2 linked regions of the Arabidopsis thaliana genome follow. The protein of the gene in region 1 interacts with the protein of each later gene in a biochemical or structural test. Each region holds a gene or a part of one and is shown on either strand. Other genes may lie near its edges. The genes, in order: EIL1 and FRU.

Region 1 (5,034 bases):
TATTTATGGTTAAAATTACATCACATGAGAGTATCGGACAATTTACAAAAATGTATACGAGGTAGTGTATAAGACGGTGTATGGGATAATTCATATGGTTCAGTACAAAATAATATACTAGGCTGTGTGCGTGAAGGGATGTATGAGATGGTATAAACAGAGGTGTATAAGATGATGTACAAGGCCGTGTACAAGATAATGTGAGATTATGTAAAAGATAGTATACAAGATGGTGTGTTTAACTCTGTACAAGTGGTGTTTAATACTGTGTAAGGGATGGTATATGAGACAATGTATAAATCAATGTACAAGATGAGACGAGCTGTGAAATTTATGTATTTACTCTAAGATCCATGAGAGTTTCTTCTTCATGTCTCAGGTGAGGAGGTTGGCGAAAGGAAGGTTAGGAAAAGTGAAGATAAATTTGATTTTGTTACAAAAGTCAAAAACATTTGCCTATATAACTTAAATATGGAGCCCATTATCATTATTCGTAGTTAGTAGAGCTTGTTCACGTTTATGTTACGATCTTGTATTGATAGAAGAATGTTTTCACTTGTCTTCGACTGAATCAGTGTTGCCTTCTCTCAGGTTATATCTTTCGTCTATGCTTTCGTCAAAGCAAAAAATCCCTAAATTAGATGAATTTTATGCCTTGACTCAAGGCATAAATTCATCAAATGTGGTATATAGAGCGTATTTAGCTTCATATATACTATTGAGTTTCCAGAGTCGTACGAGCGCTATCAAGTATCAGAAGCGAATAAAAATAAAATATCCTTACGAAAAAAAAAATCGTCTACAAAAAATAAACATCATTGTCATGTAAGAAAAAGAAAATTGACAAACTAAATATTAGTTCTTAAACAGTTGTTGACCCTTCCTCTCCACTAAATCGTTAACCAAGCTTTCAAAATCAATGTCTCTAACCAATTCTCTTTCGATTGATAATATAGCCAACTCACTCAATCTTTCTTGTGACATAGTCGACCGAAGATACGATTTGATCAACTTCAGCTTTGAAAAACTTCTTTAAGCAGATGCAACCGAAACTGGAATCGTCAACATTGTTCCTATAAAGCAATGGTACCTTCAATATGAGACAAAAATTATATATTAAATCTGCTTTGAAAGCAAAGTGAAATTTTTGTCTCCAATTATAAAGTAACATAACTATTCTAATGAGCTTTTGCTATTTGGATCTAATGTTATCATATTATTACCTCTACAACGTTCATCCTTTTCTAGCGCTTGTTGTTGTTCATCTTTTGCATGCGGATCATATATGCGTGTAATCTGGTCGTTGTCAAATTTTTATTAATTAGCATTTCAAGCCATTGCCATTGTCAACGAATATTCAGTATTTATTAGAAAAATCAACAGAAATTTAATATCTATTTAGTTTTGTTGAAATTTAAAGATATAAATCAATATTTACTATAAATTTAATTTTAGTAATATTTTTCCGATTTAGATTTTGTTATTCCCGTTTTTTTATATTGATCAGTTTTAGCGTTTTTTAGCGGTGAACAGTAGACTCAACTCGGATTGGACTAGACGGGCGATCCCGGTAGAACAGGTCCGAACGCCCGGTCTGGTTCCCAAACACTGCAATTACCGCATCTTGTGTTGTGGACCGGACCGACTATGACTGAATATTGCATTCATTTTGATCCTAAAAATGTCAATCAATGCTCATTTATTTATTATATATTTTGGAAAAAAGTGAGAAAAAACTGAAACGGTGCGACGTTATTAAATCTTTTAAATCCCCCCACCAAAGCATCTGCTTCTTCCTCTTGTCTCTCTCTCTCTCTCTCTCTCTTTCATCTTCAAACTCTACAAACCCAGAAACCACCACACAGTAATTAATGTCTCTTTCTTTCTTCCCATGTGATCTTTAACAGACTTTTCTTCTTATTCTCCATCTCTGAAGTTGTGGGGATTCATCAAGACTTCCTTATCTGTTTCTTTTATAAAACAAGAGAGAGATACCACTTTTGGTGTTCTTTATTTGCAACTCTTTCAGGCAAACACTCTTTGTCTCTTTTCTTATCTTATTATTGTTTCTATTTTTTGTTGATAATACTTTCGATTTTTTTTGGCTCTCTGTTCTTTCTAGATCGTTTGGTTTTATTGTCTATAATATTCATTTTGACAATCTATGTATTGATATGAGAACATTACTTCTTAGTCTCTTTAGTTTTTTTTTTTGTTTTTGACCCTTAAGCTTGATTTGTTGTTTTTAGCTTCTGGTGATTTGTTTGATCAAAGAAAGCTTATAAGTTTTTTTTTCTTTTTCAGGTTAAAGAAATCGATAGGCTCTGTTCTTGATTGTGGTGGAAGAGACATGATGATGTTTAACGAGATGGGAATGTATGGAAACATGGATTTCTTCTCTTCCTCCACATCTCTCGATGTGTGTCCATTACCACAAGCTGAACAAGAACCTGTAGTTGAAGATGTCGACTACACCGATGATGAGATGGATGTGGATGAGCTTGAGAAGAGGATGTGGAGAGACAAAATGCGTTTGAAACGTCTCAAGGAGCAACAGAGTAAGTGTAAAGAAGGCGTCGATGGTTCGAAACAGAGGCAGTCGCAAGAGCAAGCTAGGAGGAAGAAAATGTCTAGAGCCCAAGATGGGATCTTGAAGTATATGTTGAAGATGATGGAAGTTTGTAAAGCTCAAGGCTTTGTTTATGGTATTATTCCTGAGAAGGGTAAGCCTGTGACTGGTGCTTCGGATAATTTGAGGGAATGGTGGAAAGATAAGGTTAGGTTTGATCGTAATGGTCCAGCTGCTATTGCTAAGTATCAGTCAGAGAATAATATTTCTGGAGGGAGTAATGATTGTAACAGCTTGGTTGGTCCAACACCGCATACGCTTCAGGAGCTTCAGGACACGACTCTTGGTTCGCTTTTATCGGCTTTGATGCAACATTGTGATCCACCGCAGAGACGGTTTCCTTTGGAGAAAGGAGTTTCTCCACCTTGGTGGCCTAATGGGAATGAAGAGTGGTGGCCTCAGCTTGGTTTACCAAATGAGCAAGGTCCTCCTCCTTATAAGAAGCCTCATGATTTGAAGAAAGCTTGGAAAGTCGGTGTTTTAACTGCGGTGATCAAGCATATGTCGCCGGATATTGCGAAGATCCGTAAGCTTGTGAGGCAATCAAAATGCTTGCAGGATAAGATGACGGCGAAAGAGAGTGCTACTTGGCTTGCCATTATTAACCAAGAAGAGGTTGTGGCTCGGGAGCTTTATCCCGAGTCATGCCCTCCTCTTTCTTCTTCTTCATCATTAGGAAGCGGGTCGCTTCTCATTAATGATTGTAGCGAGTATGACGTTGAAGGTTTCGAGAAGGAACAACATGGTTTCGATGTGGAAGAGCGGAAACCAGAGATAGTGATGATGCATCCTCTAGCAAGCTTTGGGGTTGCTAAAATGCAACATTTTCCCATAAAGGAGGAGGTCGCCACCACGGTAAACTTAGAGTTCACGAGAAAGAGGAAGCAGAACAATGATATGAATGTTATGGTAATGGACAGATCAGCAGGTTACACTTGTGAGAATGGTCAGTGTCCTCACAGCAAAATGAATCTTGGATTTCAAGACAGGAGTTCAAGGGACAACCACCAGATGGTTTGTCCATATAGAGACAATCGTTTAGCGTATGGAGCATCCAAGTTTCATATGGGTGGAATGAAACTAGTAGTTCCTCAGCAACCAGTCCAACCGATCGACCTATCGGGCGTTGGAGTTCCGGAAAACGGGCAGAAGATGATCACCGAGCTTATGGCCATGTACGACAGAAATGTCCAAAGCAACCAAACGCCTCCTACTTTGATGGAAAACCAAAGCATGGTCATTGATGCAAAAGCAGCTCAGAATCAGCAGCTGAATTTCAACAGTGGCAATCAAATGTTTATGCAACAAGGGACGAACAACGGGGTTAACAATCGGTTCCAGATGGTGTTTGATTCGACACCATTCGATATGGCAGCATTCGATTACAGAGATGATTGGCAAACCGGAGCAATGGAAGGAATGGGGAAGCAGCAGCAGCAGCAGCAGCAGCAGCAAGATGTATCAATATGGTTCTGAATATTACACAATCTCTGTAACATTCATTCTTTCATAATAACTCTGTTACCTACTTACCTGACTTGGGTATGTATTCTATTGGCACCAAACACTCATCTATATTGTTGATGATGATGAAGCCATCTATTTTTTTTGTGTCTGAAAGTCATTTAACTCGCTTCATTGTTTTAATAATGTCACTATCCATTGAACATCATTCTCATGCTACAAGTTTGATTCTTTGAGTTCTATTTTTTAATCTTTGGGTTTAACCGTATAAGTTCAAGTAGCCAGCATAACAATCATGAAACAATATGGAACTCTTCTCTTTTTTCTCTTTTTCTTTTAAGTGTTAAGTCTGTCATTTTTGTTGGTTGTTCTCTAGTCAACTCAATTCAATAATCAATATCATAAGAAAAACACATGGCTTAGCCATATTTATAGGGTTATAAAAAGCATTTATCTTATAATATAAGTTATCTTCTTTGCTTTCATGTAGAAAGTATATTCTCTTATAATTTGTTTGGTCAAACACAATTGAATAATATAGTAACAGGTTGCCAACAATTGCATCAGTGTCGGCTACTGTGGCTTCTTCTTCACCACTGGCAAATTCTAATGTAACTTTTTTTATCCACATTGTAATCCAAAACGGATATTTATATAATAATAAGGTGAAAAAAGCCAAAAATGGTGAGAGTGTTTTTGGGAGGAAGAGAAGACAAACGTTGTTGTCTCCTTTATTTTGGAATTGGAGGACAGGCCATGTGATATGCGTTGTGAAACCCCACCACTCTTTTAGTCTCTTCATCGCCAAAACTGACTACATTCATGCACCCATTTTTTGGTTCTTTATTATTCTTATATTCTGAACATAATATATAGTAATGCAAAGATATAATTGCCAGTTTTAACTTAGTAATTTTTTGGTATGATTTTTTATTTTAATA
Region 2 (4,205 bases), 460 kb from region 1:
AAAATATTTTGCTTCATAAGTTTGTGACTTATTCAGAGTTATGTTTCTAAAGATGTGATAGGTACAGCAAAATTGTATTTGTTCCAAATGTCAATTAGTGAAGAAAAGAAAAAGAGTTGTCATATTTGTTGGAGTACTGAAAGATAATCATGTGGCAAAAAAAAAACGAAATAGGAAGAATTTCAGTAAAAATTATGCTAGCTTCACATGTATCAAATATATTTGAACCAAAGTATGCCATATTCATGAATTGTTTTTACAACAATTTTTATTTGTTTTAAACTCTAGAGGCTATATGTGAAAAAAAATTTTACAGCAAAAATAAGATTATATCAGAAACATTACAGACCGAAATTTACAGCCACGATCTAACCAAACATCTACTAAATTGACATAATAGCATTATTCAAATATTTATTTGGAAATTGGTTGATGTTTTTGAAAGTTGTGGAGTATCCCAAAAATCCAATGTTGCTCAAAAGTTCAGTTTCTCTAATAAATTCAACACCTAGATGGAATCTATAATTGGTTGACTTTTTTTTTTTTTTTTTTTTTACAGTTATATACCTGAAAAAATATTCCAACTTGAAATATTATAAAGAGTTGATTTTTGTCCTAACCGGCCAAGACTTTAATATTTTATACTGTCTTTCTTTGCTATCCTTTGTTTGTTTGTTGAGACAAGAACGAAAACCGTGCATTGAACAGGCTTCTTCATAATTTAATTGCGGTTTATCCTTAAATGATTTGAAAAATGGAAATGCATTTATCAAAAATAAAAGAAAATAATTGAAATGCTATTATATTCCAGAGTTGGTTTGTTATTTGAAAATTATGCTGGTTTAAGTTTATATTTGAAATTAATTTTGGCCGTTTTTCTACAAAACATATTTATCATATTGGAGTACTTTTTAAATACACTAACATAAAAATGTTGAGAAAAACTTTTGTTAAAATTCTAGCTTGTGACAACTAAACCAGTTGACATCTACAGTTGTAATAAGCCGATTGCAAATTAATTCCTAACATTTTAATAAACAAGAATATATGTGGATCTAAATTCAAAAATATAAACAGTACACTAACATTTGTACGTCTAATATCGTAGTAAACTTTTACTTATGAACACCTTTTTAATACGGTCTGATCGATTTATTTATTTATATAACCAAAACTCATATATATTCATAAACTAAATTATATAGTAACAGGATATATTATGAGCTTAATATACATGCTATATGCCTATATAAGGTCTTAATAACCAAAACTCATAATAATGTATTCATAAACTAAATTATATAGTAATATTTTTGGTATATTTTATAACTTTAAAAAACTCTAAATATTTGTGGTATTTTTGAAAATGGATAAAAATGATATTTTTGGAAAGTAGTATAATTTTAAAAAACTTCTCCCAATAAAGACATGACCAAAAATGTGTGTTATTTCTATATATATTTTTTTTTTTTTTTGATCAACATATACTCTTGTTTCTAATCTGCATTCCCTCCACCACAAAAAAAAATTCAAATGATAAAATATAAAGAAGAACAATGTGGAAATATAATTGTCATGCAACACGACAAATTAATCATTCGAGTAACATAATTTATACATATAATATACAGGTCATGCATGACATTACAAGACGTAACTGAATAAACTAATATCAACCAACTATCAAGAGTACATTTCTTTAAATTTGTTTTAATTGATTTCTTAACTTATTATGTTAATTAATACAGTTTATTTCATACTCACTCTATTATATAAACTCATTTTGTCTCTCTTTCGTTGTCAACAACTTTTCTTCATTGACAAAAACACACAAATGGAAGGAAGAGTCAACGCTCTGTCAAACATAAACGATCTCGAACTTCACAATTTCTTGGTCGATCCAAACTTCGATCAGTTCATAAACCTCATAAGAGGAGATCATCAAACCATTGACGAAAACCCAGTTCTTGATTTCGATCTTGGTCCATTACAAAACAGCCCCTGTTTCATAGACGAGAACCAGTTCATCCCAACACCTGTCGATGACCTCTTCGACGAATTGCCTGACTTAGACTCCAACGTTGCTGAATCATTCCGTAGCTTCGACGGTGATAGTGTTAGAGCCGGTGGTGAAGAAGATGAAGAAGATTACAACGACGGTGATGATTCTTCAGCCACTACTACGAATAATGATGGGACCCGTAAGACGAAGACTGATCGGTCTAGGACTTTGATCTCTGAGAGAAGAAGGAGAGGGCGTATGAAGGATAAGCTTTATGCATTGAGATCTCTTGTTCCCAATATTACTAAGGTAAGTCACAACATTTTCAAGATTTGGTAATGACTAATGAAACTGTAAATATTGATGAAGTATGTGTGTGTTGGCATTTAGATGGATAAAGCATCCATTGTTGGAGATGCAGTGTTGTATGTTCAAGAACTTCAGTCACAAGCGAAGAAACTCAAATCCGATATCGCGGGTCTTGAAGCTTCTTTAAACTCTACTGGAGGGTACCAAGAACATGCTCCTGATGCTCAAAAGACTCAACCTTTTCGCGGTATCAATCCTCCTGCTTCCAAAAAAATCATTCAGGTAATAACCTAAAAAAACCAATCAATCTTCTTGAAACATCAAAGTGTTTAAAGTTTGTATGTTTTGTTGTGTTAGATGGATGTTATACAAGTGGAGGAGAAAGGGTTTTATGTGAGATTGGTGTGTAACAAAGGAGAAGGTGTTGCTCCATCTCTTTACAAGTCTTTGGAGTCTCTTACAAGTTTCCAAGTGCAGAACTCTAACCTAAGCTCTCCTTCTCCGGACACATACCTCTTAACATATACCTTAGATGTAAATCAACTTGTGCCCTTTTACTTTGTTTTGTTTCCGAGTATACCGTTTACTTACCGAGTTTTCTTGTGTGGTGGAAACAGGGGACATGCTTCGAACAGAGCTTAAACTTGCCTAACCTGAAGCTGTGGATCACTGGATCACTTTTAAATCAAGGTTTTGAATTCATCAAGTCATTTACTTGATTCTATAACGCTTGCTCTAACGTGAGTCAAATCCGGTTCTGCACTATATTGATTGTGTACCTTTCTTACATGTTTCATAACTTCCAGGGCTCTAATTTCTATTCTAGTGATGATGTAACCGAGATTGTTGATTCTCTATTGAATAAACACCATGTTATATAGTAATTTAGCGACAAATTGTATGGTTAAATGAAGTAATATTTATGTTTTGTTTATAGTCTCAAGTCTTAAGTTTCTTTTGCTTTGATATATCACGTTTTGGTTCATTGGCTGTATTATTGCTTTGTTGTTGCAAGACCATTCACATCTTGATTCTATGTATTGTTCTCTGTTTGATTGGTAAAAGAATAAAGAATTTTAACCCCGAGAAAGCAGTACAGACGACCTATATGGATCGCCGACTCAACTCTAGGAACCTAATTTGTGCTTTGGATATTCATAACATGGTAAAACAAAAAGATTCTAATATTGTTGCTGTTGCAAGACCAAGACAGATGCCCTTGAAGGAAACTCCTTTGACGCTATAACATCTCCGAGGGCTCCAAGTTCCTCGAACTCTGTCCATTCATTTAATCCTTTTGTAACTGCGCTATTCATTCCGCTACTTCTTCCAACTATAAACAAATCATAATCATACGCTATTGATCTAAGTATCACTGAAGTCTCAGCCCCTTCTTTGACGCTTTTTTCTATACATATCCATGAATCATTTTCATTTGAATCCTCAGTCTTCATTATCTCTTTTATGTCATCGTAATCCAACTTCTGCACCGAGTCTTCGCTTTCCTCGGTAGTAAGTTGAGGTATGAGGTGTAAGATGGTTACGCTTGTCTGCTTGTTTCTCCTCATACGGTTGGTGAATGCTAAGGCTTCTTTATCGTCTTTCCCTCCCACAACTATTGCACACACCTGAAATACAAACCACGAGACCAGTTTAGAACTTGTTAAGATCACACATCGGAAGAAATGTGTAGGTACCAACACTAGTATAGAAAAAACATGGGCCAAATATACTAATCGTCGGTTTGTTTTGAGTTGGAAGCCAGACGACCCCAAAAATTAACCATGAGATCTCTTAATTACAAAAGAAAAAAAACAAGTACCTTGTAACATGAGCCGTGCATTTGAGATTCCCATAAAGGTTTCCGGTAGACGAAGATTCCAACAGAGCAAGA

What was found.
Region 2: the proteins of EIL1 (region 1) and FRU form a complex in vitro, tested with the Arabidopsis thaliana proteins (one study listed by BioGRID).

Annotation. Positions count from the first base shown.
Region 1 is NC_003071.7:11,543,964-11,548,997, forward strand, and holds EIL1 (ETHYLENE-INSENSITIVE3-like 1), read left to right. Parts: upstream 1-1,692; 5' UTR 1,693-2,029; intron 2,030-2,304; 5' UTR 2,305-2,350; coding exon 2,351-4,105; 3' UTR 4,106-4,330; downstream 4,331-5,034. UniProt on the Arabidopsis thaliana protein: Probable transcription factor acting as a positive regulator in the ethylene response pathway. Could bind the primary ethylene response element present in the ETHYLENE-RESPONSE-FACTOR1 promoter.
Region 2 is NC_003071.7:12,002,879-12,007,083, forward strand, and holds FRU (FER-like regulator of iron uptake), read left to right. Parts: upstream 1-1,779; 5' UTR 1,780-1,834; coding exon 1,835-2,311; intron 2,312-2,392; coding exon 2,393-2,593; intron 2,594-2,668; coding exon 2,669-2,845; intron 2,846-2,928; coding exon 2,929-3,030; 3' UTR 3,031-3,117; coding exon of another isoform or gene 3,118-3,125; 3' UTR 3,126-3,398; downstream 3,399-4,205. Other genes in the region: ATCHX7 (Cation/hydrogen exchanger family protein), read right to left, coding at 3,493-3,939, 4,134-4,205. UniProt on the Arabidopsis thaliana protein: Transcription factor. Essential protein involved in iron uptake responses. Regulates FRO2 at the level of mRNA accumulation and IRT1 at the level of protein accumulation. Confers enhanced iron mobilization responses at low iron supply.